Linked DNA regions of Stegostoma tigrinum. The main gene of each other region encodes a partner of the protein of the gene in region 2 in a complex. Links are inferred from orthologs where the notes say so. Each region holds a gene or a part of one and is shown on either strand. Other genes may lie near its edges.

Region 1 (7,859 bases), on a different chromosome or scaffold from region 2:
TGCAGCATGATCTAAGTATTACAATTTTGAGGAGGAGACAGGAATAAAGAGACCTGGAGATGAATGTACACTAAAGATAAATTAAATTGAACAGTTTTTTTTGGGGGGGGGGTGGTGGGCGCGGAAGTGAAACAAGAACAGAGATGCCTGGTGATGTGTGTGCTTATTCTTTAAAAATGCAGGACTAGTTGAATCCTTGGTTTTTTTTTAAAAACAGAGGAGTGTACACAAAAACAAACAAGGTATTCTAAGAGATAATGGGAACTGCAGATGCTGGAGATTCCAAGATAATAAAATGTGAGGCTGGATGAACACAGCAGGCCAAGCAGCATCTCAGGAGCACAAAAGCTGACGTTTCGGGCCTAGACCCGTCATCAGAGAGGCATTCTTCATCAGAGAGGTATTCTAACCCTTTAACATACTGGTTAAACATCAGCTATAATATCTTGTTCGATTCTGGAGTTCACACTTTAGGAAGAACGTCAGGGCTTTGGAAATGATACAAACATGATTTACTAGAATCATCCCAGGGTTTAGCGACTTCAGTCATGCAGAGATGTTATTTACCAAGGAGCAGAAAAAGAATAGAAGTTAATTAGATGAAGTGTTCACAGTCCAGAATGGTTTGCAAAAAAATAAATAAAGGACACAAACGTAAGATGATTAGCAGAAGAACCAGAGACCACAAGCAAACATTTTTGTCACTCATCATTTCGCACATACCACAGATAGAACATAGAACATAACAGCACAGTACAGGCCCTTCGGCCCTCGATGTTGTGCCGACCTGTCATACCGATCTAAAGCCCATCTAACCTGCACTATTGCACGTACGTCCATATGCTTATCCAATGACGACTTAAATGTACCTAAAGTGGGCGAATCTACTACTGTTGCAGGCAAAGCGTTCCATTCCCTTACTACTTTCTGAGTAAAGAAACTACCTCTGACATCTGTCCTATATCTTTCACCCCTCAATTTAAAGCTATGCCCCCTCGTGCTCGCCATCACCATCCTAGGAAAAAGGCTTTCCCTATCCACCCTATCTAACCCACTGATTATCTTATGTGTCTCAATTAAGTCACCTCTCAACCTTCTTCTCTCTAATGAAAACAGCCTCAAGTCCCTCAGCCTTTCCTCGTAAGACTTTCCCTCCATACCAGGCAACATCCTAGTAAATCTCCTCTGCACCCTTTCCAAAGCTTCCACATCCTTCTTATAATGCGGTGACCAGAACTGTACACAATACTCCAAGTGTGGCCGCACCAGAGTTTTGTACAGCTTCACCATAACCTCTTGGTTCCGGAACTCGATCCCTCTATTAATAAAAGCTAAAACACTGTATGCCTTCTTAACAGCCCTGTCAACCTGGGTGGCAACTTTCAAGGATCTGTGTACATAGACACCGAGATCTCTCTGCTCATCTACACTACTAAGAATCTTACCATTAGCCCTGTACTTTGCCTTCCGGTTACTCCTACCAAAGTGCATCACCTCACACTTGTCTGCATTAAACTCCATTTGCCACCTCTCAGCCCAGCTCTGCAGCTTATCTATGTCTCTCTGCAACCTACAGCATCCTTTGTCACTATCCACAACTCCACCGACCTTAGTGTCGTCTGCAAATTTACTAACCCATCCTTCTACGCCCTCATCCAGGTATTTATAAAAATGACAAACAGCAGTGGACCCAACACCGACCCTTGCGGTACACCACTAGTAACTGGTCTCCAGGATGAACATTTCCCATCAACTACCAGCCTCAGTCTTCTTTCGGCAAGCCAATTTCCAATCCAAACTGCTATATCTCCCACAATTCCATTCCTCCGCATTTTGTACAATAGCCTATTGTGGGGAACCTTATCGAACGCCTTGCTGAAATCCATAATTTCCTTAATAATAATTTCCTTACTTATTCTCAGTCTGAAAAATCAGAATATATTTTGAGACACAGTACATCAGTATACTTTTAAAAGATGAGCTTGTGATATCATCATTGTATCATAGAATATGACCTAATTGTATAAACACTGCATACTCCACCTTAAGTAGATCACTTGAAGTATGAATTGCTACTACAAGTATGATGCTCAGCTATAACATTAGTGTAACACTTATCTGTAACTCTTACGTGTTTGTAATTCAATAATTATACATGATAACCAGTTGAAATAAGCATCTATTGGATCCTTCAACAGTACACTCCGTTGAGGTTGTACTGGATCTTGGATTTGGATTTCTGCTGCTTTGGACAGTGGATGTTCAGGCCAATTCAGATTGGGTCACTTGGAACATAAGAATAAACTAGTGAGCAAGCAAACTAACAAATACATTTATGCATCATCCAGATAAGTCAATTTCAACTGAGTAACAAAAAAAAAATGCCATGCACATTCAAAAATACCCAGTTTCTGGACAATTCTGGTTTGTAGACTGCCAATTTTGAGAATGTCTACTTGTAATTATTTAAATCTAACTGTCTTTGTCAATGAATTGATCAAAGTTGGGAAATGAGAATGTCCCAGATTTACAACTTGAGTGAAAACAGCACATGAATAATTTATTACACTGTTTAGATCTACAGAATGGCTGTAAATTGGGAGAGGGGAGTGTGCAATAGGACCTGAATGTTCTTGTGCACCAGTCAGGTAAGCATGTAGGTGCAACAGGCAGTAAAGCAGGCAAATGGTATGTTTGCTTTCATAGCGAGAGGTTGAGTGTAGGAGCAGGGAAGTGTTGTTGCAGTTATACAGGGCCTTGGCAGGACCACACTTAGAACATTGTGTGCAATTTTGGTCTCCTTTTCTGAGGAAGTCACTCTTGCTCTCAAGGGACTACAGTGAAGGTTACCAGGCTGATTCCAGGGATGGTGGGACTGACAAGTGGAGAGATTGACTAGATTAGGATTATTTTCGCTGGAATTCAGATGAGCGAGTTGGGGGGGGGGGGGAAAGAGGGGAGAAGAGGAGATGTCATAGAGACTTTTAAAATCTTAATGGGACTGGACAGGGTAGATGCAGGGAGCCTGTTCCTGATGGACGTGTCCAGCACAGGGGTCACAGTCTAGGGATTTGGGATAGACAGAGAATGGAGATGAGGAGATACTTGTTCACCCAAAAGTGATGAGCCTGTGGAATTCATTACCACAGGAAGTAGTTGAATGTACTCAAAAGGCAGCCAGATATAGCAGTTGGAGTGAAAGCAGGATTAGGCTCTTGAGTTGGACAATCAGCCATGAACGTGATGATTAGCAGAACAGGCTCGAAGGGTACAAATGACCTCCTCCTGTTCCTCTATGTTTCTCATCATACTTTGGAAACAACAGAAGGATTTAAATGGATTTCTCCTATGATAAGATCAGTAGGCTATTGGGACATGGAGTGATCTGTACAAAAATGTATAGAGACTAAGTGTATTGCTAATTTTATTACTCCAAAACAAATTCCCTCTCAACTCACTTGGTGGCAGTCACTTATTATCAATACTACCAGAATTCCTGCTCCATTAAAAAAATCTCAATAGAGCCGTGGTAACTGTGTAGATGTGACCAATGCTGTGTGAGATTAAAAAGGCAGCATATATTTTATATTAACTAACTTATAGATCAAATAGCTATTGACAAGCAAAACCTCATAAGAAAGCTCTAAGGGAAAACTCTTTTCAAGCACAAATGGCAATATTTTGAATAAGTGCTTTGATTTGTGTACAAGATACATGTGACTAAGAACAAGGTAACACAGAATTTACACCAGAGAAACTGGTCTGTTTATATCACACATCTCCCACATTTCAAACAACATTGACTCCATATTATGCAGAGATAGTAGGAATTGCTGACGCTGGAGAATCCGAGATAACAAAAGGTGTAGAGCTGGATGAACACAGCAGGAAAGCTGACATTTCGGGTCGAGAAGGGTCAGCTTTCCTGATCCTCTGATGCTGCTTGGCCTGCTGTCTTCATCCAGCTCCACACTTTGTGTACTCCATATTATCCAATTGGCTTGAACACCCACAGTCCAAAGAACCTGACCAGAAATCCAACAAAGTCTAAAATCTGACGTAGCCTTAGTCTTGAGATTTCTGGTTGAGTGAATGTATTTGTGCTGTGATGAAAGCAGAATTGTCACCTTTTGTTAAGTACATACCAGCTACATCATTTCTACATATCTTTCTACCCGCTTTTGTCGTACACACCCTCCTCTACCCCCATAATCCTGCAAATCCCAATTCGTGGAGGAATCTGTCTCTACCACTCTTTCAGATAAAAGGTATTCCAGACCCTAATGAGCCTCCCGGTGTGAAAACGTTGCTCATTGCCATCCACTTTATTTTAGTTTCAGATCTCCAGCACCAACGGCGTTTCTGCATTGTTTCGCGTCCTTTTTGTACAGGCTGCGTCACAGCCAAAAATGAGAGATCGGAGGAGCGCTCAAAAGTTGCGTGCATGAAGAACAAAACCTGATAACGATTATTAACCCTGCCCAACAGCAAGTAACTGTGCAATGAATTGCATTCCTCGAGACACCGGACGTGGTTCCCCGACACGTCCCTTCTATTTTAGTCTCAGGATTATAAAAGAGAACTCCTTTTTGGAACGATGACCTTGTTTAAAAAAAAAGGAACCACCACGGGCATATTCTATATCCCTGTGCTCTTAACATGCACAACTTCTCACGAACCAACTCACCTTCTTTGCAAAGATACAACAGTGACACCGTCCCTTCCTTGACCTCTTTTTTCCCCTCCCACCACCTCAACAACACAAATTGACAATAGTAGGACACTGTCTTGCCAGTCGAGAGGAGAGAACAGTTTTATGAAAATAAAAGGTGTTAGAGAATGCGAACAGTGGATCCTACTTTTAGGATTTTGCAAGGCAAAAGCAGAACGGACGTATTCAGTTTTGTTTTGAATCCTGAACGGTCGAAGGTTCCACAGGACAGCCGTTGCCTGCACAACGTTCCATTTCAGGCACGCGCGCCCAGCCACCGGGGTCCTGCGTGGTAAAGACCGAAGAACGAAGATGGCGGTGCCCACAAGCAGTCAGGTCCTGTCTTTATACAGGTTGATGCTGAAAGAAAGCAAGAAGTTCACCAGTTACAATTATAGGTAAAAAGAAGTAATTTTGTTTTCCGCCAGGGAATGTTGATATTTGCTACGTACTTTGCTTATCAATCCCATGTCACACTCCTCCATCCCACTTAAGCCGCAATTTAATTTCAACCACTGACATTTTATTTATGTAGCCGTTCTTAATGCGAGAAAAACGGGCAAAAACGCAATCAAAAGCTCGCGCGCGCGCGCGCACACACACACACACACGGGAAAAAAAAATCTCAGGCAAAAGCGAGATTAGAAGCGGCGAACAGAATTTAAGTTTGATATAATAGGAACTGCAGGTGCTGGGGAATCCAAGATAACAAAGTGTGAAACTGGATGAACACAGCAGGCCAAGCAGCATCTCAGGAGCACAAAAGCTGACGTTTCGGGCCTAGACCTAGGCTCTCTGATGAAGGGTCTAGGCTCGAAACGTCAGCTTTTGTGCTCCTGAGATGCTCCTTGGCCTGCTGTGTTCATCCAGCTTCACACTTTATTATTTAGGAAAGCTGACGTTTCGGGCCTAGACCCTTCATCAGAAATCTGAGAGATCGGCTTTAAAGAAAGGTTTGAAAAAAAGGGATCAGTGGGAGATCCACAAAATGTCAGACCTGACCAGGGATAGGTGTGTTTCTGGCTTTGGGTCCTGGATAAAATTCAGAAACACTGGGTGAGACCATGAAGGGATTTCAAACCAAGATTGAGAAGTTGAAGGTGGAAGTGTCAAGAAAGTCATATGTTTATACATTGTCTTTCATGATCGTTGGAAAAAAATCAAAATGCTTTACAATCAATTAATTGTTATGGGAATGTAGGTCACCAATGCCAGACTAAAGCTTGATTAAGATTTTGTGCTGAATAAGATAGAGTTGCAACAACAAGAGCTGAGGAAGGGGTCACCTGATGAAAAACGTTAACTCTGATTTTTATTTTCTTCACAAATGCTGCCAGGCCTGCTGAGCTTTTCCAGCAACTTCAGTTTTTGTCCCTGATTTACAGTATCTGCAGTTCTTTCTGTTTTTATTTAGGATACAATCTCCGGACTTTTAGATGTATTATTAAAGTCAGTCCTTTTACAACACACATATTTCCTCCAGCCCTTCACACACTCACTGGTCATCAAGCATTTATCTGCTCATTCAGAGATAGTAGGAGCTGCCGACTCTGCAGTCTGAGATAACAAGGTGTAGAGGTGGATGAACACAGCAGCCTGGGCACATCTTGTTTTTTAAGCACTTGGCCCATAGCCTTGTATGTTACGCCTTGCAAGTGTTTATTGAAATACTACTTAAATGTTGTGATCGTTCGCACCTTTACCACTCATTCAGGCAGAGCTCTGGATACCCATCACTAATTTGGTGAAAATGTTCTTCCTTGAATTCCTTCTAAACCTCCTGTCTTTTAAATCTAAACTGCTCAATTACTGAACCCTCTACTAGGAGAATTTTCTTCCTTTCGAACTTTCTATACCTCATAATTTTGTATTTATCAGTTAAGCCCCTACCTGTCTTTTGTCCTTTAAGGGAAACAACCCCAGTCTATCTAGTTTCTCATCATAGTTGAGACGCTCCAGCCCAGCCGATATCCTGGTGAATCCTCTCTAGAGCATTCACATCCTTCCGACAGTGTTGTGACCAGTACTGCACACAACAATCCAGTTGTGGTTTAACTAACATCTTTTGCAGCTCCGTCAAAACTTTTCTGCTCTTGTATTCAGCATCTTGACACATAAAGACAAGTATCCCATGATTTCCTAACCATTTCATCTACCTGTACTGTTGTCTTCAAGGATATGTGACATGAACAAAAATCTGTGTGATCCTCTGTACTTCTAAGTACATTGTGTACTCCCTTGCCTTGTTTGTGCTCCCAAAGTGCATCACCTCACTTTTCTGGATTCAATTCCATTTGCCACTGTTCTTCCCTTCTGACCAACCTGACTGTATCATCCTGTGGTCTAAGGCTTTCCTGCTCATTTACCACACCACCAATTTTCCTGTCATCTGTAAACTTACTGATCAAACCTCCTACATTCATGCCTAGATCATTAATGAGCACTATAAACAATATTGAACCCTGTGGTACAGGAGTGTATGGGCTTTTACCTTCTTGACCAGGATACTGGTATGACATATCCTGTATGACATCTTGTCAAAAAATTTACTGAAGTACATTTAAAGTGCACAAGCTGCCCACTGTCATCTCCACACTTATTAACCACTTCAAATAACTCAAATCAGACTTGTCAAATACAATCTCGCCTTGACAGACACATGTTGACTATCCTTAATTAATCTTTGTTGGTCCAAATTGAGATTAATTCTGTCCTTCAGTATGCTAGCCTTGTCCTCCTAGGTGGTAAAGATTGTCAGTTTTGGAAGGTGCTGACAAGGGAACTTGGGAACTTGCTGCAGTGCATCTTGTTCTTGATGATCAAGACCCATTAGTTTATTTGCAGCCAAGTAATATCAAACATCTAATAAAACAAGACAAGTCAGTTAACAGCAATGTGCCTTTACCTAAGAAGCATAGCCTCAAAAAAGGTGTCACAAATTTAGGAGGGAGATGACAAATTTCTTTACTCAAATGATTCTGAATTCTTGGAATATTCTTTCTTTTAGAGGCTGAATATGCACAGCACTGGTTCAAAATAAATATTGAAAGGTTTTTAGAGGATTAAGGGATTTGAGAGATACAAGAATAGTGCAGGTAGACAGAGTTGAAGTAGAGGATCAGCCACAATCTTATTAATGGTCGGAGCA
Region 2 (7,991 bases):
ACGTAATGTCCCAAAATGCAAGCGTGCCTTCATCACCACTGTGTCCACCTGTGACACCACTTATAAAGAACTATGTACTTGCACCCCTAGGTGTCAGTATTCAACACTGCCCAGGGCGCTACTACTAACTGTGTAAGTCCTGCCCTGGTTTGTCTTACCAAAATGTGACATCTCACATTTATCTGCATTAGACACCATCTGCCATTCCTCAGCCCAATAATCCAATTGATCAAGATCCCATTGTACTCTTAGATAACCTGCTTCATTGTCCACTACACCACCCATTTTGGTATCATCCTCAAACTTACTAACCATACCTCCTACGTTATCATCCAAATTGTTTATACAAATGATGAACAACAGTGGAGCCAGCACCGATCCTTGCAGCACACCACTGGTCACAGGCCTCCAGCCTCAACAACAATCCTCTACCACCACCTCTGTCTTCTACCATCAAGCCAATTTTGTATCCAATTGGCTGGCTCTTGCTGGATTTCATATGATTAAACCTTACTAACCAATCTACCATGTGGAACTTTGCTAAAGTCCATGTAGACAACATCTATGGCTCTGCCTTCATCTGTCTTTTTGGTCAACTTTTCTAAACACTCAATCAGTTTGAGAGAGGCAATTTCCCACACAAAGCCATGGTGACTATCCCTAGTCTGTCATTGCCTTTCCAAATGCACGTAAATCCTGTCTCTCAGAATCCCCTCCAATAACTTACCCACCACTGACGTCAGGCTCACTGGTTTGTAGTTTCCTGGTTTTTCCTTGCAGCCTTTCTTTAATAATGGCACAATAGCCATCTTCTAAGTCTTCCGACACCTCACCTGTGGCTGTCAATAATATAACTATCTATGATAGGAGCCCTGCAATTTCTTTCCTAGACTCACTGGGGTTAAACTTGATCAGGTCCCAGGGATTTATCTACCTTTATGGGTTTTAAGACTTCCAGCAACCCGTCTTCTGTAACGTGGACTCTTTTCATGATATCACCACTTAATACCCCAAGTTCCCGATCTTTCATGTCTTTCTCTGCAGAGATTTTGATTTGCACCAAGACTTAGAAATTAAGATCAAAGTGAACTGCCTAGTACATACAACATTAAAGTCTGTGAGAAGCAACATCTTGAATTAATTATTTTTCTCAGCCTGATACCTGCTGCAGTGTTCCTACTGATAATCATTTAATTAATTTTAACTAAAATCTCATGTAAATCACTGAGACACAGGTTGAATCTCAAACTGATGTATCTGCATTGGCAAGACTTTTCTCCTGGTGGGGAGGGAGTGTCTGGGTATCTCGATTCAAGTGCTCCTGCAACTGAACAAAACTGCTTCAAAAAGACCAATTTCTCAAACAGGGACATAACATTAAAGTTAGAACAGAACCGGAATTTTCCCAATAAACTGACCAAGACATAGTGAAAGAAAGAATAAAGAAAATACTTGCATTTTTGGATTTATTTTGTTCAGATATGTTACGACACACCCCTGGAGCAAGTGGAACATGAATCCAGGGCTCCTGGCTCAGAGATAGGGACACTAAAGAGTCACAGTGTTGCTTCTTTCACTCTCTGCATTGTCAGACTGAAACACAATCTTTCGTGTTAGCAAATGGATGCTGTGGTTCAAGACTTGCACTTAAATAGTGCTTCTCGTGGAATTTCAAAGTACCTTCCAGCCAAATTTACACACAGTAAACACCACAAACAAGGTAATCATAACCAAATAATGTTTCTGTGATGTTGATGATTATTTGTCAGGGTTTTAAGTTGAACAGCTCCACTCTTTAAAAACTAATGCTATGGATCGTTTACATCCACTCAAGTGGACAGATAAGTCCTTAGCTTGGCATCTCGTCTGAAAAAACAGCATTCCTACCATCTCACTTCCTCAGTAGTGTGGAGTATCAGCCTAGATCTTTGTGCTCAAGCCTGGATTGGGGCTTGAACCTAGATTTTTGACTCAGAGGCAGGAGAGTTATCCACTGACCCACAGCTGACACTAGAAAAAAAAGCAGGGGGAGAGAGAATTTCAAACAGCCAACATGGACAGAAAGGATCAAATGACTTCTTTCTGTGCTCTAGAATTCTATGAAATTGAAAAGAAATCTTGTTGCTTTTAAATACTGAAGCAAAAAATCCAATTGTAAGTTATGTGTCACAGTAACTTTACTAATCAGTCCAATATCCCGGAAAACAAGGTCAAACAGTTTTCACTGCTGAAATTACATAATTGATCAGCTTTGGAAAAATTATTACTTTTTTCTGTGAACTACCAAATAATTCACAATAGATTTGCTCAGAAGGAAGATTGTTCTATAAAAATCATACAAGTGTCCAGGGTAGTCAAATACCCAGACTGTTACTAAACTGATGAGGTGTAATGGTGTCTGTAAACCGGAAAAGATGTACCTGGTTCAAGGCATCTGCTTCATTCATTCTAAGCGTTGTCAGATTGAAACATTCCATCATGTTAACAAATGAATGCAGCGGTTCAAGAAGAGAGCTCACCACCACCTCCTCAAAGATAACTAGGGATGAGTAATAAATGCTGGCCCAGCTAGCGATGCACGCATGCCATGAATGAATATAAAAGCAGCAATTTATCGAAGATCAACAACAGGGTTAAATAACAGCTGCAAATTTTGTCCATTGCTTTGTTTTTATGAAAAGGAAAAGGGTATTCAGTCCTTCAAGGCTCTTGCAGCATTTATTCAATCACAGCTGATATGCATCTTAGCTCCATCTATAAGTCTTGGTTCTGTGATCTGTATGGAACGGGTTAACAGACCACAATGCATTTATAGTGGCGATGGTTTTGTAGAAACTGAACAGGTGCAATTGATGCTTGTTAACTGCAGTGACACTGATGAATTAAATAAAACAATGTTAATTCAATGGGACTGTTAATTACAGCAGAACTGGGTGAAACAGGCAGAGGTAGATTGAAAATAGACAGGCAATATCGGCAGAAAAGAACTGAAATTGCTGTAAACACTCAGCAGGTCTGGTAGCATCTGTGGACAGAAAGCAGAGTTAGCATTTCGAATCTAGTGACTCATCTTCAGAATTGAATTCTGAAGAAACTTTGAGTTCTGAAGAAGTGTCCTTGGGCCCAAAACATCAACTTTGCCTTGTCTCCACTGATGCTGCCAGACCTGCTGAATTTTTTCAGCAAATTCAGTTTTTGTTTCGGATTTCCAGCATTCGCAGTTGTTTTGGGTTTTTGGCCATTATAACAGATGTGAAAGAAGTTCTCTTCTTAATAGCGCTATGGGTACATTGCAACAGATGGATGCTAATGTTCAAGACAGAGGATCACCACCACTGGACTTCAGGGTAATTGGGGACGAGGAATAAACACCCATTTGTTAAGCAAGAGTCAAGAAAAAAAAACAGAAGACAAGTGTCAATGGGAACAGCTGTGCCTGTTTCAAGTAGGAAAATCTGAGTGAAAGATCACTGCTAAGTGGCCAACAGACACTTCAGATAGACCATCTGAAAGGGTAACTGAATGACTTAAATGAAACCATTTCGTTTAAATTTCTCAATAAAGTTGCTGGATTTAGTGTGAGACATCCCAATTTTAATTTTTGTTCTCCAAGTTTAAGAAAAACGGGTAAAATCACTCACAAGCCCTAGTACTCTCACCTTACGAAGTCAGTTAATCTCCATTGTCTTGAGATTTCCAAGTGGCCACCAACCACAAAAGCTTCCTGCAAACAGCAAACGGCAAACGATGTGTGTTTTATTGCTTAACGTGAGCCATGCCATAAAAATTCCGAATGCAAAAGTACTGCCAATGTTGAAATAAGAACTGAAAGTAGCAACGTCACACACCACCTAAGGGGAGAGGTGGAGGGATAACATTAACAGAGTCCAGCATTTTATTGTTTCGTGCATTGGTGCCAACATCGTGGGTTGAATTCCCAGAGTGGTTGAGGTTACCATGAAGGACACTCCTCAAGTTGCCGCATCGCCCGCGGTGCGGAGACCCTCAGGTTGGACCACCGTTAAGTCCTCAGCCCTTTCGTCTGGTAACACTATGGCGACTTCACCTTTGGAGTCATGATTAAATCACACTGCAGTGCAATAAAACAAAGAACTGCGGATGTTGGGAGATCTGAAGCAAAAAGAAAGAGAGGTAACCCTCAGAAGAAATTCGGGCAGGTCCTGGCAGCATCTGCGAAGAGTGTTACCGTTTCGAACCCTGAGACCCTTTCTCTTCAGGCACAGCAGAAGAGACACTGCAGGTCTGTCCTGAGAGATGGAGCCTTCATGGCCTGTGCCCACAGCCTGCAATTCATATGTAACTCACCCAACTCGTCGAAGGATCTGCATCCAGCAGAATTCAGCTACTGTGGTTACCCGTCCACTCTGTGTCTCTCCACTCCAGACACACTGATGCAGCAGGTTGCAGTTCTCAGCCAGGAGGTGGGGGAGCGGGTAGTTTTGATGGGCAGGCGCACCGACCAATCGACGCTCGCACAAGGGGGGGTGAGAATGGGGAGGTTTTGATGGGCAGGCTCTTCGCCCAATCGCATCTGACGTGGGGAAGGCGGATACGTCGGACGGCCATTGATGGACAGCAGCAGCGCCCAATCGCAGTAGCCACAGCTGTCGAGCCCACGTGCGTCGACGCGCCGGCTCACGTCGAGCCCGGCATCTCCTTAGCAACAGACAGGTCAGAGCGTTAGGTAGAAGTTTGCGGTTTTTAAATCATTGTTGAATGCAGGAAACAAGTGGAATTCATTTAAGTTAATAACCATTAAATAAATCGGTGAATTCTAAAACAGCTGACTGGTTTACCATGAAATAATGAACAGCCATTACAAAGTGTTAACAATACCATCTGATCCCTCGCTGTTTCGTTGATCTGATGTAGATTACTGGTATAACATTTATTTCCGGATTATTCTTTTTTTTGACATTCGTTTTCTCATATGATTGGCTTCCCGGGGCATCCAAAAGCGTCATTTCCGTTGCTAAGGTGAGAGGTCACCGACAGCTTCCGGCCTGTAGCTCAGCTGTTTATCGCAGGGCTTTCAACGTGCCTCGCATAAGGGGCACTTTCACTGGGATATGCTCGGCAGAACTGCCCTTCGGGGCATCGTGGGGGCCCGAGGAATCCTGTGCAGGAGGTTCGGCGCCTCACAGAGACGCAGGGATGGGGATGAGAATGGTGAGCCTGCGTGGTGGGGAAAGGGAGTGGAATGGAGATGGATTAGAAGATGGGTTGGCGGTGGCAGGTGATGGGGATGGGTTGGGGGAGACTGGGAAGAGGGAAGTGGATCGGGGCGATGCGTTTGTTGGGTGGGGAGGCGGCGGCGGCGGCGGCGGTGTTGGGGAGAGAGAGAGAGTGTGGGAAGTGGATTGGGGGGGCGGGTGAAAGGGGATGGGGGCGTGGTGGGGTACTGGGAAGAAGGAAGTGGAAAGTGGGTCGGGGCGATGCGTTGGGGGGGGGGGGGGGGGGCGCGGGTGAAAGGGGAAGGTGTTTCGGGGGGGGGGGGGGGGCGCGGGTGAAAGGGGAAGGTGTTTCGGGGTGAGGGGAGTTGCGTGGAAGGACTTGTTGAGCAGACGGATCGGAATTAGACCGGGTGGATTTTGAAGGGCGAAATAGTGGTTAGTGTGATACTACCTGAGCTTCACTCGTGAAGGTATTTGCTAAAAGTTATGTAATTTTCTTGCGTTTTTCCAGATAACGATTCTTTAAAAGATTTTAAAGATAAAATTCGACCTCTGTACTTGGATTTCCAGGCAACCACACCAATGGTAGGAATGTTTGATGCATATAATCCAATGAGATGCAAATTAGAGGAGTTTTTAAAGTTGTGTTTGTGTAATCGGATGGCTGACCAGTTAGCCCCAGGCATATTGAATTCTAGACTCAATATTGTTGTGCTCCTAAGATGCTGCTTGGCCTGCTGTGTTCATCCAGCTTCACACTTTGTTATCTCAATATATTGTATCTCCCTTTCCCTTCTGTGATCCTCTAAAGATTTCTGTGCTTCTCTGATTCTGGTCTGTGACCATTTCCACATTTAATTCATTTCCAGTGGCGTATTTGTGTTTATCTGAGTGGGTTCTGAGCTCTTGAATTCCCTACGAAGCCACTTCACCAATTTTAAGATATTCTTCAAAACCAACTCCTTGATTAAGCTTTTGGACACCTGCTGTAAAAAATTCCTTGTGTTCCTTGATGGTGCTTTTGTGAAATGCCTTGGTGCATTCATTACGTATAGGGTAATTCATGATATTTTGAAATGAAGTGTAGTAAGTTTTATTTTTAAACTGTATAGACCGCAGTGACCGGTTGGTGTTTAAACTCATAGAGATATGCAACATAGAAAAGGACCTTGCACTCTTATTTGTCCATGCTGACCAGACATTCTAGATAAATCTAGTCCCGTTTGCCAGCATTTGACCCATATCCCTCTTAAATTCTTCCAGTTTGTACTCCCATCCGGATGCCTTTTAAATTTTGTAATTGTACCAGCCTCCACAACTTCTTCTGGCAGCTCATTCCTTACATGCTGCACCCTTTGCATGAAAAAAGTTGCACCTTATGTCCCTTTTTAAATCTTTTTCCCCCTCTTAGCTTAAACCTTGTGGGGAAAAAACTTTGTTTATTTATTCTATTCATACTCCTCATGATTTTATTAATCCCGAAAAGGTCACCCCTTAGCCTCTGATGTTCCAGGGAAAATGGCCCCAGCGTATTCAGCCTCTCCCTATAGCTTAAACCCTCCAACTCTGACAACATCCTTTGTAGATCTTTGCTAAACCCGTTCAAGTCTCACAATATCCTTCCTGTAGCAGGGAGACCAGAATTGAACACAGTATTCCAAAAGTGGTCTAACCAGTGTGCTGTACAGCCATAACGTGACCTCTTTGCACATTAGCCAAAAAAAAAGCAAGCATACCAAATGCCTTCACTATCCTATCTACCTGTGAGTCCACTTTCAAGGAACAATGAACCTGCACTCCAACGTCTCTTTGTTTAGCAACGCTCCCCAGGACCTTACCATTAAGTGTGTAAGTCCTGCCTTGATTTGCCTTTCCAAAATGCAGCACCTCACACTTATCTAAATTAAACTCCTTCTGCCGCTCCTTGGCGCATTGGCCCATCTGATCAAGATCCCGTTGTACTGTGAGGTAACTTTCTTTGCTGTCCGTGACACCTCCAATTTTGATGTTACCTCCAAACTTACTTACAATACTTACTATGTTCGTATCCCAAACTATTTAAATAAATGATGAAAAGCAGTGGACCCAGCACTGATCCTTTGTGACACCACTGGTCACTGCCTCCAGTCTGAAAAGTAATCCTCCACCACCATCCTCTGTCTTCTGCCTTTGAGCCAGTTCAGTATCCAAATGGCAAAGTTCTTCCTATATGCCATGTGATCTAACCTTGCTAACCAGTCTACCATGAAGAATCTTGTTGAGCACCTTACTGAAGTCCATATCATTCACTTATACCACGCAACAATAATTTTCGTTACTCTTCAAAAAGCCTGATCTAGGTATTGAGACGTGACTTCCCAAACACAAAGCCATGTTAACTATCCTTAACCAGTCCTTGCTTTCCAAATACACGTTGGTCCTGTTCCTCAAGATTGTCTCCAACAACTTGCCCACCACTGACATCAGGCTCACTGATCTTTGATCTTAGATCCCTGGCATTTCCTTACGATCCTTCATAAATAGTGGCACCATGTTGGCCAACCTTCAGTCTTCCAGCACCTCACCTGTAGTTGTCAATAATAGAGATATCTCAGCTAGGGGCTCAGCAATCACTTCCCTTGCTTCCCACAGAGTTCTAGGTACATCTGATCAGGCCTGGGGACTTATAAGCTTTTATGTGTTTTAAGCTAACCAGCACCACCACCTCTGTAATATGGACATTTTTCAAGATGTTGTATTTATTTCCCCACATTCTTTACCTTCCTATCCTTCTCCACAGTAAACACTGCAAAATAC
Region 3 (7,435 bases), on a different chromosome or scaffold from region 2:
GGATGTTAGTATGGAAACCAGCTTTCCCTTCGTAGGAAGTTTATACTTCTAGAAATACCCTATTAAGTTTGGGGAACTTTTAAAAAAAATATGCATGATTTCTGGTGTGCTATGCTATTCAGTTTTCTGTCTGTCTGTCTCCCCTCACTTGAACGTGCCAATGCTTGAGGAGATGGCTCCATAGACATTAATAGCTTTACAGGTTTGAAGAACATGCTACGTTTAAACGCAAACTTCTCTGGATCACTGATCAAAAGTTGAGCTCTAAATTTAATTCATCTAACTATGGCACTGAAGCCAACTGCTGGACTGAGAACAGCTCATTCATCCAAAGAGCTCTCTGAAATGGTGACCCATATCTTACCTTTGGGAAGCAAACTGAACCATTATACGCAGCCCTTCAACTTTGCTAAATAAATTAAAAAGGGACATAATGGCTCAATTGATAATGTTACATTTAAATACATTGCTACCCATATCCTGGATCACCTCAAAAAACTTTACCTGTAGTTTCATGACATCACCACAAGCCGGTGCACCAACCAGGCCAGTTCCAACATTTTTTGCATTCTTATCCAAGGATCCAACATTTCTGGGATTCTCATAGTGGTCCACTACCTACGGTAGAAGGAAATACAATAGTGCAAGTCATGATGACTCAATAGAACTCTAGCTTCTGATTTCAAAACTGTGTTCAAGTTTCATTAAGCACAAAGAAAGACCAAGCCTATAGTCTAGTTCAGGACCGACAGAACGCAGCGCTGTCGGAACTGTCGTCATTTGAAAGACATCAGTCTGCCCTATCAGGTGGGTGGAAAAGATTCCACCGCATTACCTCCACAGTTCTGGTCAGAATCTATCCAGAGATAATTTGGTCATAAGACCATACAGCTCTTTGCTGAAGTTTTATTTGTAATGTGCAAATTGGCTGTTGCATTGCATACAATCTGGACTAGACATGAAGAATATTTCACCAGCTGTACAGCACTGCTGCCCAAAATACTTTATAAATTCAATTACAACTTCCTCTCATCACCACTGCATGCCTACACCCCCTGCTTCTCCTCAACACCACATGCCCATGCCCCCTGCCTCTCCTCAACACCACACGCTCACGCTGCCGCCACACCCCCTCCACCCTTTCCATCTGGACTACGACCCCATCGCTAATCATAGGTTTCCACAGATGATGTTGGGACCTATCCCCATTACTACTTCCCACCTCATTATCCCCAACCCTGCACAGCCTGCTACAACCTTCTTCCCAAAATCCACAAAATAGGCTGCTTGGACAGATCCACAATTTCAGTCTTCTCGCTGATCCACATATTTCTTATTTTCCTCTTATTCACTTTCTTCCCATATACACGTGACTCTTCTGATGCTTTACATTGGCTCCACAATTTGTTTTTTTTGGCCCTAGCTGCCACCCCTTCACAATGAATATACAATCCCTCAATTTCTATCCTTTTCACTTCCACGAGGTCCACTTCTGACTCTTCCTGGTCTTCTATTCCCATTTCTGGGGATAGGGTGCCCACCAGTATCCACTACAAACCCATCAACTCTAGACAGTTGTATTTGGAACTGATGCTGAAGAATCTCAGATAACAAAGTGTACAGTTGGATGAACACAGCAAGCCAAGCAGCAAAGCTGACATTTTGGGTCTAGACCCCTTCTTCAGAAAACCCAAAATGCTTGGCTACACTTCCTTGTACAAGGACAGCATTCCATTTTCCAAGTTTCTCCATCAAGTGTTGACAGGGTTGCCTTTGAAATGTTTTTTTTCCTTCAACCACAATACCAAACATTTTTCCATTCCCCACTACTGATTCTCTGAGACACCCTGATCTATTTCTCTACTTCACTTCTGACACTTCCTCACCTCTATGGCATATTTCTATACAATTAGAGATTACATATCACTTGACCTCCTCACTGTTCACAGCCCTAAGTACACATTCCAGGTGAGGAAGTAGTTTGCTTGTACTACTTTGCATGTAATCTATCACTTGCTACTCACATTGTTGAGGCCAAACACAAAACAGACAAATGGCTTGCAGAATACCTTCACTTTGTAAGAATGAATTATGTCCCAGTTGCTTGCTATTTCAACTATCTCGCTGTCATTGAGCATTTTTGTCCTAGGCTAGCTGCAGTGTTCCATCAAACCTTAGCACAAGCTGGAGGAACAGCATCTCAATTCCCATTCCAAAAAGCAACAGCCTCCACAACATTGAGTTCAATCCCTCCAGGGCATGCCATCTTTCCTCTGTTTCGATTACAGCACACCACCCAAACTCTGGCACTTTGCATCTTGTCAACTTTGCTGTCAGCAGAGCAGACGCATTTTCTTCTTTGCGCACCTCTTTCAAGTCTCAATGTCTTCTTTGGCACCGTTAATACACTCTTTTGCCTTCTGTTCTGGTATCCTCGCCATCTGTCACACTCACTCCAACATCCCATTTGTCTACAGCGTGGTACACACGCTGATTCGGTTATAATGGACCGGAGGCATTGAGAAAACTTTCTCGTTCGACGGACGGTGCCAGACTTGCTGTGTTTTGCCAGCATTTTCTCACTCTGTTTCACGTTTCTAGTAGCCATTCTGCTTTACTTTTACAGGCATTCCTTCTTTACCCACCACTCCACTTTCCCCTGCACACCCTCTTAACTGCAGCCACAACACTTTTTGTATCCTTAGAGACTAAGTGTTAGAAACGCTCATGCCACACGGCATATGTAAGATCACCCTCATCACCAGACGGTGCTCTCATTAGCTAACAGCCTCCTACCTGCCGTTTTGAATAGATTAGATTAAATTACATTCACTACAGTGGGAATTTGCGGACTCCCCTGGCCCACCCCAACGTGGACAGCCTCGGGACCAGGCGCAGAGTAAAGGCTGCTACCATTCCCAAGCGCAGTTACCTTTTTGTGATAAGCAGCGACGAGGGGTGCCCGAGCCTTCAGCACAAGCCGCGAGAGAGAACCAGTAATTATAACCGCCGCCATCACTACCAATAGCCGAGTGCGTCACAACCTCCTACTTCACCGCCCGACGTCACCAACACTGACACCCCCTCCAACAAGTGCTGTTACGTAAGACTGACCACGCCCCCGCGTGGTTATGTCATGCACTGACCACGCCCTCCCCACGGGACGCATTGACGAGTGAGCAACGCGCCACTAACAAACGTGTCCCTATGTTGTTTTGTTTACCACGCCCCTTACGTGACCATGTGGCTGGCTGGGCACGCCCCTTGCGTGGTTGCGTTACCAACTGAAAACCGCTCTGGAAGGTAAACAAAACATCGCGACGCGCTCTGCATCGCGGCCTTACCAATATGGTGACAATTCGTACCCCGCTTTCGTCATATGCAATCGTCAGTTTCATTAAAGCCCACATGTCGCGTTGTTATGTTGTAAATATTACATCCATTTGTCCCATATTCTCCCGAAAATTTCTGTTTAAAACAGCTCCCGCTGTAATGCGTGGAATTGTACTTCAAACTGAAGCTTCTATTAAAATAAGGAATTGTTCTATAAGAAGTAGTTGTGTTTCTCAGGATGTGAAGTGTTCTATTTGATCGGGCGTCTCGGCCTTTCCCGCACTGCTGCGCATGATGGCGACTATCGGGAGGCGACGGTCGAGTGAGGCTGAGGAATTGGAGGTTGGAACCGGGGGCGACTCGGAGGAAGAAATGGAAGACTCTTCGGAGGACGAGCAAGAAAACGAGGCGGAAATCCAGCGTTTGGAAGAGCAGGTGCGACGTGATGGCGGGCGGGAGTGAGCCCGCGGGATTTAAAACTTCAGCACGAGCTCCCCCTTCCCCCAGCCCCGTCCCAGTCCCACTTACTCTCCCAGCCCTTTCGCCCTCATCCCACCTCTACCACGCACTCTCGACCCCTCCCCACTCACCCCGAAGTTCCCTCTCCCATTCCTCCGACCTCCTGCTGACTCCTGTCCGCCTGGCCTGTTCACTGTTGTGAAATAAGTAAACCAAAACATTTCCGTCATTGCCGAAGTAAAACAAACATCTGAAAAATCACTTGAAAACCACGTAGTCAGGACTAATCCTTCGAAGAGCCAAGAGAAAGGCAAAATGCCTGAGGTCATCTACGGAGAGAAAATATAATTTTCTGGGGCATAGTACTCAGGTTCACGCTGAGTTGAATGAATGGCCCAATTTCTAGCTATGTATGTATGATAAAGTCATGACCAATAAAATCCAAATGACTTGAAGCATATGCCTTGACTCACAATAAATCTCACTGGCAGCCAGTGACTAGTAAGTTACCACAGGGATTAGTGCTTGGATCCAGCTATGGAGTATAATGGATATATATGCAATTATCCACTTTGGTAGCAAAAACAGGAAGGCAGATTATTATCTAAATGGTAACTGGAAAAGGAGTAGGTCCAAGAGACATGGGTGACCTTGTACACAAGTCAGTGAAAGTGAGCATACACATGTAGCAGTGAAGAAAGCAGGTGGCCGCCTTAGTGAGAGGATCCTACTGCAGGAACAAAGATGTCTTGTTGAAATTGTACTGGGCCTTGCTGAGAGCGAAGCTAGAGTATTGTGTTCAGTTTTTATCTTGTTACCTGAGGAATAGTGTTCCAGCTTTGGAGATAGTGCAACAAAGGTTTACGAGGCTGACACCGGGACAGCAAGACTGATATACGAAGGCTTTGTTAGGACAATCTTCATTGGAGTTTACAAGTATGAGGTTGGAATCTTGTAGAAACCTATAAAATTATGACAGGACTAGACAGGCTTTATGCAGGAAGGATAGTTCTGATAAAAGGAATCCAAACTAGAGGTCACGATTTAGGAATATGAGAATGCCATTAGGGACTGAGATAAGAAATGTCTCATGCAGACTGGTGAGCTTGTGGAATTATCTGTTACAGAAAGCTGTTAGAGATAAGACATTGAATGTTTTCAAAATGGAGTTAGATATAGCTCTTGGGGCTAAAGAATCATAGGGTTTGGAGAGAAGGTGGGAACAGACTACTGAGTAGGATGATCATTATTGATGATTGCTAGGTAATTGAGTCCATTTAAGACGGAGATAGATAGGTTCTTAATTATCAAGGGGATCAAGGGTTCGGGGAGAAAGCAGGTGAGTGGAGCTGAGGAAATTATCAGCCGTGATTGAATGGTAGAGCAGACTCGATGGGCCGAATGGCCTAATTTCTGCTCCTATGTCTTATATGTTCTTATTATATTGAAAAGCAGATCAGACTTGAAGGACTGAATGGCCTAATTATACTCAGAGGTAAAAGGGAACTGCTGATGCTGGAGAATCCAAGATAACAAAGTGTGTAAACTGCATGAACACAGCAGGCCAAGCAGCATCTCAGGAGCACAAAAGCTGACGTTTCGGGCCTAGACCCTTCACAGAGAGCCTCTCTGATGAAGGGTCTAGGCCCGAAACGTCAGCTTTTGTGCTCCTGAGATGCTGCTTGGGCCTGCTGTGTTCATCCAGCTACACATTTTGTTATCTTGGCCTAATTCTACTCCTATTTTTTCTAAATTTCTCAAGACTCTATGATCATTACTAAACTTTAATTAGTCTTGATCTAGACTAAAGTCACATCTCAGAAATTTGGGACACTGTGGTTCCTCAAGAATCTGCTGCTTATCCTTTCCAATGCTATTGTGAAAAATTTAAGTGCCAGTTGTGATGGGCCAGTTTAATGAGTGTGATATTTAAGTCAGTTCTCTTGCTAGCAAATTACAGACGTAAGCTGTTTATAACTCTCACCAGTGCAATGAGATCATCATACTCAAACATAGTGAAAGTGTAAGATAAACTGTCAGGATTCACCGTCAACATCTCAAGTGAGGTCATTTATTTGAAAATTGTTGGATATCACGGACGTCTAAGAACGGTTTAGCTCTGGAAGCTGTATTGTGTCCCAGCTATATCTCCATGTAAACAACTTTCTCAGCAGTTTCCATATGTAAACTGAGTGAGATTCTGGAGAACAGTAATGCGATTCTTTATATTGTATACCGTTTATGGCAGTGGAAGTACTTTATTCCACTTGGGCGACTATGTTCAATTATGGAAATTACCACAATTCTGTGGACTGAAGTACTTCATGCTCAGTGAAATACTGAAATCTGATTTATTATAAATAAAATTATTCAGTAGGAAGAAAAAAGACACTGAAGAGTCAATCTTACCTCCGATTTGTTCCCATGTTTACAGAGACTTGCTGCCCTCAAAGCAATAAGGCTGCACTTTTACAGAAGAATATTGTGGTTTTCATGGTAGAGCAGTCCTCTATGCAACAATGTAAAATAGTGTATCATTTCACACTAAGTGATGATGAAAGGGTATTTTTAAACCCTCTGTTTATCTGTTTAAAACATTTTACTTCTGAGTTTCATATGGCTTTATGCTTGTTATGTCATTGGCCAGGAAGCTTGATGTTTTTATTTTGTGGCATTAACACAGTTGTCAAGGTTTGCCATAGACTAAATAGACGCCCATTTTTGTCTGATGTGAATGACAAGTTTAAAAATTGAGAAGCAGACTTATTGATAACCAATTGGCTATTAGAAAGTTTAATAAAATGACAGATGTATTCTAATATTAATCACTGGCATGAGGACAGCAGTAATCTGTGCCATTTATTTTAGCTTTCCATAAGTGCCTATGATTACAACTGTCATGTCGATCTAATAAAATTGCTGCGTCAGGAGGGGGAGCTGGAGAAGTTACGAGCTGCTCGACAGAAGATGAGTGAACTGTTCCCTCTTACAGAAGGTAAGACTATCCTTGTTAGACAATTGCAACACCAGCTGAAACCTGATAATGTAATGCAGATCAGACTTTGTAATATGTTTATGACCAGCATCCTGATAAAAGTTTGAATTAATCCACTTTCCACAAGATTTTGGCTGTTTTTTTAAAAATTTCTCCTGTTTCTTCGAAACTGATCATGTGAACATTCTGTTATTGACATGGCAACCTTAAAGCCACAGCTCTCGTAATCCTGACTAGTTCTGTTTGTGAAGGTTCTGTTCTCAGTTATATTGAGGAAACCAATCCAATTCTGTTTTTCAGAGCTTTGGCTGGACTGGCTAAAGGATGAGATTCTAATGGCAGAGGGATCAACTGACAGGGAGAAAGTGTATGAACTGTTTGAGAAGGCCATCAAAGATTATATTTGTAAGCTCTTTTTTACACTTTAGTGTTTGCCTGACTCTTAACATTGAGTAATCACAGCTTTCTTTGATGAATACAAACATATCCCCCACTGTTCTGCTTCAGGTAGAACGTAGCTGTTGGCTGGGCAAAGTGTTAATCTTTCTAGCTCCCCCAGTGAATTGAAGTGGGAAGGAGGAAAGAGACTTTGTTTATTAATTTGTGAATGTATCAAAAGACTAAAAGTATATGTAATTTCAAATAATG

What was found.
Region 1: the proteins of nfs1 (region 2) and LYR motif-containing protein 4 are in contact, whole or in part, in a crystal structure (PDB 6W1D), measured with the Homo sapiens proteins. The link is inferred for Stegostoma tigrinum from reciprocal best matches to the Homo sapiens genes NFS1 and LYRM4. Residues at the interface, in NP_066923.3 of Homo sapiens: Leu56, Arg57, Pro58, Leu59, Pro68, Leu69, Pro71, Arg72, Leu74, Asp75, Leu78, Glu314, Tyr317, Arg321, Asp372, Arg412, Phe413, Thr414, Thr415, Glu417, Glu418, Tyr421; in NP_065141.3 of Homo sapiens: Phe23, Tyr26, Asn27, Tyr28, Thr30, Tyr31, Arg34, Arg35, Asp38, Val65, Arg68, Gln69, Ile72, Thr78, Asp79, Lys80, Leu81, Ile82, Ile83, Asn85.
Region 3: the proteins of nfs1 (region 2) and iscua are in contact, whole or in part, in a crystal structure (PDB 6W1D), measured with the Homo sapiens proteins. The link is inferred for Stegostoma tigrinum from reciprocal best matches to the Homo sapiens genes NFS1 and ISCU. Residues at the interface, in NP_066923.3 of Homo sapiens: Tyr360, Val361, Glu362, Glu364, Ser365, Leu367, Met368, Ala369, Lys371, Glu399, Asp400, His403, Ser404, His429, Arg432, Leu433, Glu435, Met436, Ser437, Pro438, Leu439, Glu441, Met442, Trp454, Thr455; in NP_998760.1 of Homo sapiens: Tyr35, Val40, His42, Tyr43, Glu44, Val49, Gly50, Ser51, Leu63, Val64, Gly65, Ala66, Pro67, Ala68, Cys69, Gly70, Val72, Lys74, Phe90, Lys91, Thr92, Phe93, Gly94, Cys95, Gly96, Ile99, Lys135.

The regions. Positions count from the first base shown.
Region 1 is NC_081355.1:11,434,455-11,442,313, forward strand, and holds the start of LYR motif-containing protein 4, read left to right. Parts: upstream 1-4,833; 5' UTR 4,834-5,023; coding exon 5,024-5,109; intron 5,110-7,859.
Region 2 is NC_081372.1:9,304,783-9,312,773, reverse strand, and holds the start of nfs1 (cysteine desulfurase, mitochondrial), read left to right. Parts: upstream 1-4,977; 5' UTR 4,978-5,090; coding exon 5,091-5,190; intron 5,191-5,706; coding exon 5,707-5,780; intron 5,781-7,991.
Region 3 is NC_081379.1:29,049,506-29,056,940, forward strand, and holds the start of iscua (iron-sulfur cluster assembly enzyme ISCU, mitochondrial), read right to left. Parts: upstream 3,101-7,435; 5' UTR 3,017-3,100; coding exon 2,933-3,016; intron 619-2,932; coding exon 505-618; intron 1-504. Other genes in the region: sart3 (squamous cell carcinoma antigen recognized by T-cells 3), read left to right, coding at 3,625-3,768, 6,661-6,787, 7,088-7,192.